Linked DNA regions of Struthio camelus. The protein of the gene in region 1 interacts with the protein of each later gene in a biochemical or structural test. Links are inferred from orthologs where the notes say so. Each region holds a gene or a part of one and is shown in the gene's direction. Other genes may lie near its edges.

Region 1 (3,903 bases):
TAATGTACATCATCCATATCACCGATACAAGCACAGGAGCACTGTAAAGTTGACAATATATTACTTTAATATCAGCCACTTTCCCCACAAAAGCAACATGGTACAACTGCCCTGTTATTAGGGGACAAGAAGGACTCTTTACAAAGAGACACATCACAGCAGCTCAAATAACCCATTTTCTACGCACTCTCTCCCCCTGATCCTTGAAGAAGTGGGTGGCCATGGTAACGTGGGCTATGGTGAAGACTCCTTCAGCTGAAAAGATGACAGAGAGAAAGAGAGTTATTAGGAACCCCAAACTGGGAAACAAGCTGGTGTGATAGAAGGCGCAAGGCTGAGACTGCCTATTAATGGGATACATGGGGCAGACAAAACAGCCCCTGGGAAGAGAGAGGAAAGGAAGCCAGCTTCCCTGCTGCAGCCCCACAGCTCCAGCCTACTGAGGTGCAAGGCAGGCCCCAGCCTAGGGTTACCACAATAATCAGCACCCACAGGCCTTGCACCTTCCTTCAAGCCACCCCGGCCTCTTCAGGAAGCCCTTCAGTAGGCCAGACCTGCAGGCACAGCACGAAGAAGTCGCCGGGCCGGGCCTTGTGCCACGAACAGCCTCCCCAGTCCTCCCCACATGAGCCAAACCAACCCGTACTCTCCACTGGGGCAGGCTCATCGTCACACAAAAATGGCCGCCCCTGCCTGCTTGTCTCTCTAGGCAGGCTGGAGGAGCGCCCTCTCTATGATGCTCGCCGAGAACATTCCGAAAGCCAACCTACCCGTCCCACAGGCGCCTGCGCAGATCGATCCGAGGCGGAGCCTAGGGAGAAGACAAGAAGAGGGGGTGGGGCAGCAGCCAGCGCGTGCGCGTTGCAGGCCGCAGGGGCCGGATGAGACGCGCGCGCTCCCCTCGGCGCAGGCGCAGTAGTCGCGGTGGGGGGCCGGGCGCGGGTGGGCGGTGCCTTGTACGAAGGGCCTCGACGAAAGAGGCGGGGCGATGCGGCGCGGGCGCTCCGGTGCGCCTGCGCAACGCGTGCCCGCCCCCTCCCCTGCCTTTGTTCGGGGTTGGGCGCCATTTTGCGCGGCGGCTGAGTGGAGGCGCTGATTGGGTTTCGGGGACCGGTAGCGGAGCCAATCAGCGCGGGACCCGAACCGGGGGAGCGAGGCACGGTGAGTGCGAGCAGCCAATATGGAGCCCCCGAGCGCCGGCCCCAGCGCCGGGATTGGCGGGGCCGAGTGGCCAGTCAGGAGGCCGCTCGCAGGGCCGGGGCCGGCCGGCCGGGCGCTGGGGGAGGCGAGGGGCCGGGGCCCGGCTCCTGCCGGGGGGGGGGGGTGAACCGGGAGGAGAGGGGCCGGGGTGGGCCGGGCCGCGGGAGGAGAGTGCCTGGGCTGGGGGCCGGGGCGAGCGTACCGGGCGGTGCGGGCGCGGGGCCAAGGGCGGCAGCCGTGGAGGGGAAGGCGCCGCCGCGGGCTGCGGCGGCCCGGGCTGCTGAGGGGAGATGCGCGGCAGCGGGCCCGGCCTCCCTCGGCGGGCCTGGCCTTGCCCGTGCGGGGCCGCTGGGACGGGAGCCGGCAGGGCTCCGCCCTCGAGCGGCCGGGAGGGGGGAGCGGGGCGGGCGAGCCTCTCCGCTGGCCCCGCTGACAGATGGGCCGCGGGCGGCCCGGGCTGCCCCTCCTCCTCCTCTCCCCCCCCCCCCCCGCCGCCCGCCGTGCCCGGGGGCGGGGGGAGCCGCCGCCTGTGCGCCAAGGGCAGGTCGCTGCCTCCGCCGGGGCAGCGTCCCCCGGGTTCCGCCCCCCCCCCCCCCCCCGGCCATCGCGAAAAGGACCTGGATGCCAAATGCCGCCGGCCGCGGGGAGAAACCGCCTCGCTGCGGGTGCGAGGGGCCTCGGCGCCGCCTCTGCCGCCCCTCGGCGGGCTGCGGGGCACTGCTTCGTCCGCCCCGGCGCGGCCTCTGCCCGCAGCGAAAATTCTCCCGTCTCTGGCTCTGCAATAAAATGAAAACGTCTCTGGGTGAACTCCCCGACTTACAAGTTTGATAAGGAGGTCAGGAACGAGAGACGGACACCTCGTGGTGTTTCCTGTTGAACAGCAGGAGATAAGGCTGTGGCCTGTCTGCGCTGTTGTTTAAGTGAAATCCTGTTCTTGGCTTTGTGCGAGTGTCCTGTCCGTTGAGGACAGTGATCGCGGGGGTAGGTTGACAGGGTCCGTCCTAGAAATTTCTGCCAGTTTAGTAATGTTGCTTCAGGGTGTGACACAGTTTAAAATGATGCTTTCATGCTAACTCAAGCTCTGGCATAGATTATCACACGAGCAATGTCTCAGCACAGCTTATCCATGTGGGGAGCTGTCGATGTAGCTGCTGTTAGGATGGTGTGTAGATGAGTGTATATATGTATATACTGATAGAACTAGAGCACTAAGTCGTGGCCAGTGCGGACAAGGGCCTGGCAGTAAGGCATGTGGAGGGAGCTCACTAGTGAGATCAGCTGTGGGAGGGGCGTGCTGTCGCTGATCTTTAAAATTTAACTTTGACAGAGCAACGCTGACTCTGTTTTAATGAAGAGAATGAAACATAATCCTGTGGAGGACTGCGATCCAGTACATGTGAAATCTTCCATTGTGACGGGTTAGCTACGACCCTTAGGATTGCAATGTTACTTATGTTTTAAGTAAACAGGACAGGGGCTTGATGTGAGGGTCTGAGAAGAAGTATTCTGGGATATAAGTAGGTCTGCGCTTAATTACTGGTTGTGGCGTTGGGGAAACCAGAGAAGTTTTGGCCAATGTAATTTAGTGGCATCCCGAGCTTGCTATTGGAAATGCTTCCATGAAGAATGAAATGTGGGAGCTGTTTTCTGACAGGCCAACACACTTTTAGGGAAGAGATTAAGTATGCTGGGCGCAATGAAAACCTTGATAGACAGAAGCAACTCAGAAAGAATATTTGTCTCCTCTTATTCTGCGGAAAACTGTTGCTAATGGGTCAAAGATAGTTAAAATTGCAGCAAAATTTCTGTGCTGTGACTCAGATTATTTTTGTTGTTTCCAGCTTTAGTGTTCTTGCATCTTAATTCTGAACAAAATACCTGATCGGGACCGAGAAGGCTTACATTATTATGGCAGTTGTGTGTCCTGCAGTGAACTTGCTTCTGATCTGTCCTGATACATATTGGTTAATCTTTTTTTTTTTTTTTGTGAGTAAACAATACTTTGTGTTAATGAACAAGAAATCAATGAAATGTAAAAACATAGCATGTTTTCTTAGGTCGCAGTGAGGAATAACTCTATGAGAAAACTGAAATGTTCTTAAGATGAATGCAAGACACTTAAGTACAAAGGATATTTTAAAATTAAAGAGCAGGAAGTAAGAGAGGTGTCATTACAGTAGTAACCACAAAAACTATTACGGTTAGTGGAAGTTGTGGCTAAATGTTATATGCATTTCTTTGAACGCTGAAAGGACCTGTTTTTTTATTGCTTTAAACTTTGAAGATGAAGGTCAAAGACTGCTTTTTCACTAGTGTAACGGGTACTTTTCCAGTTGTAGCATAAATCAAATTCCTCATTAAAAGTAATGGTAAGAATTCTTTCTTTGTTGTTCAACTAAGAAGAGAAGAAATGTGGGGAAGAAAGAGGTAATGGAACTAAGTATTTTATTTCAGCAGTGTGTTCTTCATATGTCTAGGCAAGGGTCCAAGAAAGGAGAGGTAGTAAAAGGATAGAAGCAATGAGAAGTCTGCTGGCTATTTTCAAATTATACAAAAGTGCGAGGAGAGGGGAGAGATACAAGGTAGGAGTGCTGCATACTTGGGAAGGAGAGACTATTTCGCTTAGCCTCGTTGAATTCTTGAAAGGTAGCTTGGTTTTACACTTAAACTTTTGTATGTTGTGAGCTTTTTAGAGGACCCTTC
Region 2 (3,903 bases), on another chromosome or scaffold:
AATTCCAGATTTCAAGAGTGCATGTGTATGTAAGCGAAAAAACGCTGTATGCTGATGCTGAATCTGAAAGCCACAGTAGAGGACACGTTCAGTGGACAACAGGAAGCTTTCATCCTCCAGGGAGAGGAGAGGGAAAAAATTATTGAAGCAAAAAAATCCTTTTTTACCACTTCAAGGTGAAGTTGAAAGCCTGACATCCAAAATGCACCTTTCACCAGGGAGTCGCTGCTAGCTCATTGTATGGTAACTAGGAAATTTCTTACTTGAACTTTTTAAAAAAAAAAAAAAAAAGCATGGCAAACGAAGAATCAGAAACAGTGTTCTGCTCAAAACTTCAGAGTTTTGGTTCAACTTTTATGTACTGCTAGCCTCAGCAGGAAACAGTACCTATATTGTTTTAAAAATGTATAGATGTGTAAATCTTAAAGGTTGGTGTGATGCTATTGCTTTTTTTTTTTCTTCCTACTGTGAGGAAACTTAAATTTTAGTGTGACCCCAAATTGCAAACTACTGCTTAAGATTAGTATGTTAAACAGAACGTTTCAAAAAGTGCGTGTGGCAGGAGTTAAACTAAAGCCTGACTAACCCGTTGAGGGGCGTATTAACTGAAGAGGTCCTCTTTCCCCAAGTTCTGATAGGAGGTATAAAAAAACCCACGTTATTTGGTTTTATAGTTCCCTTCCCCCCCCCCCCCCAAAAAAAAAAAACCAACCTTTAATTCTGTGCCAGTTTGTTCGAGCCCGGCGCGGGGGTGCTGGGCCGTACGCTAACTCCCTGCTTTGGTGACAGACTGGCCGTCGCTAACGCAATCTCAGATTTGCAGAGAAGGAAAAGCTGTGAGGTTAAAGCCGATGCTAGCTTTAAAAAATCACATGCACGTGTACACAGACACACGCACGTACACATATAGGTACATATCAGATTCACATCCCTCCTATGTATGCGGAGATCTCGGTTCAGAGGAGTTGGTGGAAGCTGCTGCTGATCCAACGCCGCCTCGTTAACGGTTTCTTCCCTGTCGCCTCCAGGGCTTCTTCTGCCTTCTCCCGTGCCCGAGGCGCAGCCCGGGGCCGAGCCGCTTGCCCCGGCCCGCCGCGGGGAGCCGCGGGCCGCGCCGCAGGTGCCCGGGCAGGGCCGCGGGGGCTCCCCGGGCCGGGGCCTGCGGCGGGTGCCCGCCGGCCGCCTCACGGGCGGGGCGGCGGAGCGGCTCCGCCCCCGCTCCCTGTGAGGGAGGCTGAGGCTCCGGCCGCCGCTGCCCGGCCTCCCCGCGCAGCCCGGGGGCAGCGAGGCGCCGGGAGGATGCGAGTGGGCGCCGCGGGCCGCGGCGAGGCGAGGCGAGGGCCCGGGCGGCCGGCGGCGGCGGCGCTGGGAGTTCGCGGCTCGCTCGCCGCCCCCCCGCCGCCAAAGAAGTGCAGTAGTTTGTGAAACGCAAGATGGCGGCGCGGCCGTGAGGGGAGGCGGCCGGCGGGCGGCGGAGGCGCCGGCGGCGGGGGCGAGGAGGCAGCGCGGCGCCGCCAGGTAGGGGCCGGCCCCTCCGGCGGGGGCGAGCGGGCGGCGGGAGGCCAGCGGGCGCCCCGCGGCAGGCGGCGCCCTCCCGCCCGCCGCCGCCGCCGCCGCCGCAGCAGCAGCCGGCGGGCGCGGGCCAGGTGCGCCCCGCGGGGGCGGCCGCCGCCCCACCGCCGCCGCCGCCCGCCCGCCCGTTGCGCTGCCCGCGGCGGCTCCGCGGGCGAAGTTTTGGGGAAGGCGGCGCGGAGGCGCCGGGCGCGGCCTGACGCTCCGCTCTCCCCCGCCGCAGGATGCGCAGCGCCGGCGATCGGGAGCCACTTCGGTAAACGGCGCGACGGAGGCGGCCCTGGATCCCCGGGAGGACTCGGGATATCCGCAACAGCGAGCGCTCCCGGGCAGGTACTTCATTTTTTGCTTTCCTGCTTTCCCCGTGCTTCATGTTTTGAGCCGCTTTGCTTTTCTTGGGGGTTTAAATAGCCGAGGGACCAAGGGGCTCGCTTTGCACCGGGCGCCGGTGAAAGCGGAAAGGCCGGGGTGCGGATGGGTCTGCCAGCTGGAAGAGGTGCCGCTCGGTTGTTTTTTTGTTTTGTTTTGTTTTTTTTAAATAGAGATGAGCAGAGAGCGTGTTGGGAACGTCAAAAGTGCGTATGGAAGTGGATTTCGTTATGGAACTTGTGACATGGACACTGATGTTTTGTTAAAGTTAGAGACGGGAATTTTTAGAAGCTGCCCTGTTGGTTTTGACCAGCAGTCGTCTTGTTTGGTTTTGTTCAGAAGGATTTCGCACGCAAAAAAAAAAAAAAAAAAAAAAAAAAAAGAAGCTTTGGGGCTCGCGTAGAGACAGAAAAGAGCCCGTTCCAGCTGCTTAAAACAACCCGTACGACGCAAACTGTAGGGCTGCCCTAAGCAAAGACCTCTTTGAACGAGCACGCACCGTCAGGAAACCCTCCCGTCACTGCGTTGAGACGTGGTCAGGGAGGCAGCGCGTTTCAGCTGTGAGGTTCCACAAATTCCTCTCAGCTGATGAGAAATAGATGCTATGTTTTATAGCGGAAACGATCTGCCGTTAACTTTCAGGTCCTGGCACTTGCTCTGTCTTTGCTAGACTGACAAGCCCTCTGCTCTCCCCTTTTGGTTAGCATAGGCGTCTGCTGCGATTGTCCTAAACTTGCCTTTGTTAAGCATAACGGTTTGAGGCAGCGCTCTTCCTTGCAAGGCCTGCTTTCCTACTCTCTTAATGGTTCTTAGGAGTTTTCCTGGATTCTGTCCTTTCTGACAACACCCTTGATGACCTGTGCGTGCTTCAGCCTCATCAAGTGCTCTGGCGTCTAGCCTTGACTGCTGTCACTTACCGTTCTTAGTTACTGTTGGAATAGAGAATATTTATCACTGCCTATGAATAGGTCGTTGGAGACTTCTAAAGCTGTTTGTTGAACATCTCTGCCTTTTGTGGATTTCTCGGTACTGAAGCATCACTAACAAATAATGGACTTTGTACTATGTCTGGGGTTTCTCTTTGTTCCTAATGTACTGAAAAGACGGTTTCCTTGCATCTTTTGCTTCATTTAACCATGTGTATCTTTCGACTTAAGCTTATTACTGCCTCTGAACTTTGCCACTTAGTTCTCCCCTTTCTCCCATTTGTTACGTGTAGTGTGAAAGAGAGGGTTACAGTTTGATTCAATTTTTTGTCTAGTTATGTTTAACCTTTGCGGCCGTTTTGTTTGGGAGATGAGTTCTTTGGAATTTAGAGAGGTCATATTTGAAAAATTATCAGTCTTATCAAGTCAGATTCTCTCTTTTAGCTTGAGTTCAGAATTTTTTTCCAGCTATATGAAGCTGGTCCTTTTAAAGCACCAAGTACTTACAAGCTGGTTTTTCATTCTGTTTGCACACAGTAAGTGTAATCAAATCATGCTCACTTGTAGCTAAGCTATGGCTCGTCTTTGTTTTGGTGTTCATTTGTTCTTTACCTGTCAAACTGAGGTCTAATGTAGAATTCCCCTGTGTCAGATGCAGCATTTTAATTTTATGAAATTATCTTCTCTAATTTTCTGAAAGCCTGAGCCTCTTTCAAAATTGACAGACTGATTCCTCTCCCCTTAAATTTCAGTCCTATGTGATAACAGTTTTGGGGTTGTGATGGTGGGGGCGGTTCTTAACGTTGTTAAGCGGGGTGCATGAGGCCCTGGGCGTTCTGATCTCTTCCGTAAATTAACGGTCAGTATTCCCTCTCCTTCTTGTGCTTTATATGTGAGGCCACTGATCCATAGAAGTCCAAGATGGTTTGCCCTGAGTTGTCAGTGACTTGTAAACAAGCGATGCCATGTTCGGTGTAGTACCGTTTCCCCTTTTTCTTTTGTTCATTTGATATTTCCTAAATAGGCAGCAATATTG

What was found.
Region 2: the proteins of NFYA (region 1) and ZHX1 form a complex in vitro, tested with the Homo sapiens proteins (2 studies listed by BioGRID). The link is inferred for Struthio camelus from reciprocal best matches to the Homo sapiens genes NFYA and ZHX1.

What each region holds. Positions count from the first base shown.
Region 1 is NC_090965.1:5,976,587-5,980,489, forward strand, and holds the start of NFYA (nuclear transcription factor Y subunit alpha), read left to right. Parts: upstream 1-1,030; 5' UTR 1,031-1,161; intron 1,162-1,402; exon of another isoform or gene 1,403-1,581; intron 1,582-1,817; exon of another isoform or gene 1,818-2,153; intron 2,154-2,481; exon of another isoform or gene 2,482-2,618; intron 2,619-3,175; exon of another isoform or gene 3,176-3,627; intron 3,628-3,903. Other genes in the region: ADP-ribose glycohydrolase OARD1, read right to left, coding at 188-255, 555-627. UniProt on the Homo sapiens protein: Component of the sequence-specific heterotrimeric transcription factor (NF-Y) which specifically recognizes a 5'-CCAAT-3' box motif found in the promoters of its target genes.
Region 2 is NC_090943.1:160,143,511-160,147,413, reverse strand, and holds the start of ZHX1 (zinc fingers and homeoboxes protein 1), read left to right. Parts: upstream 1-1,342; 5' UTR 1,343-1,518; intron 1,519-1,795; 5' UTR 1,796-1,905; intron 1,906-3,903. UniProt on the Homo sapiens protein: Acts as a transcriptional repressor. Increases DNMT3B-mediated repressive transcriptional activity when DNMT3B is tethered to DNA. May link molecule between DNMT3B and other co-repressor proteins.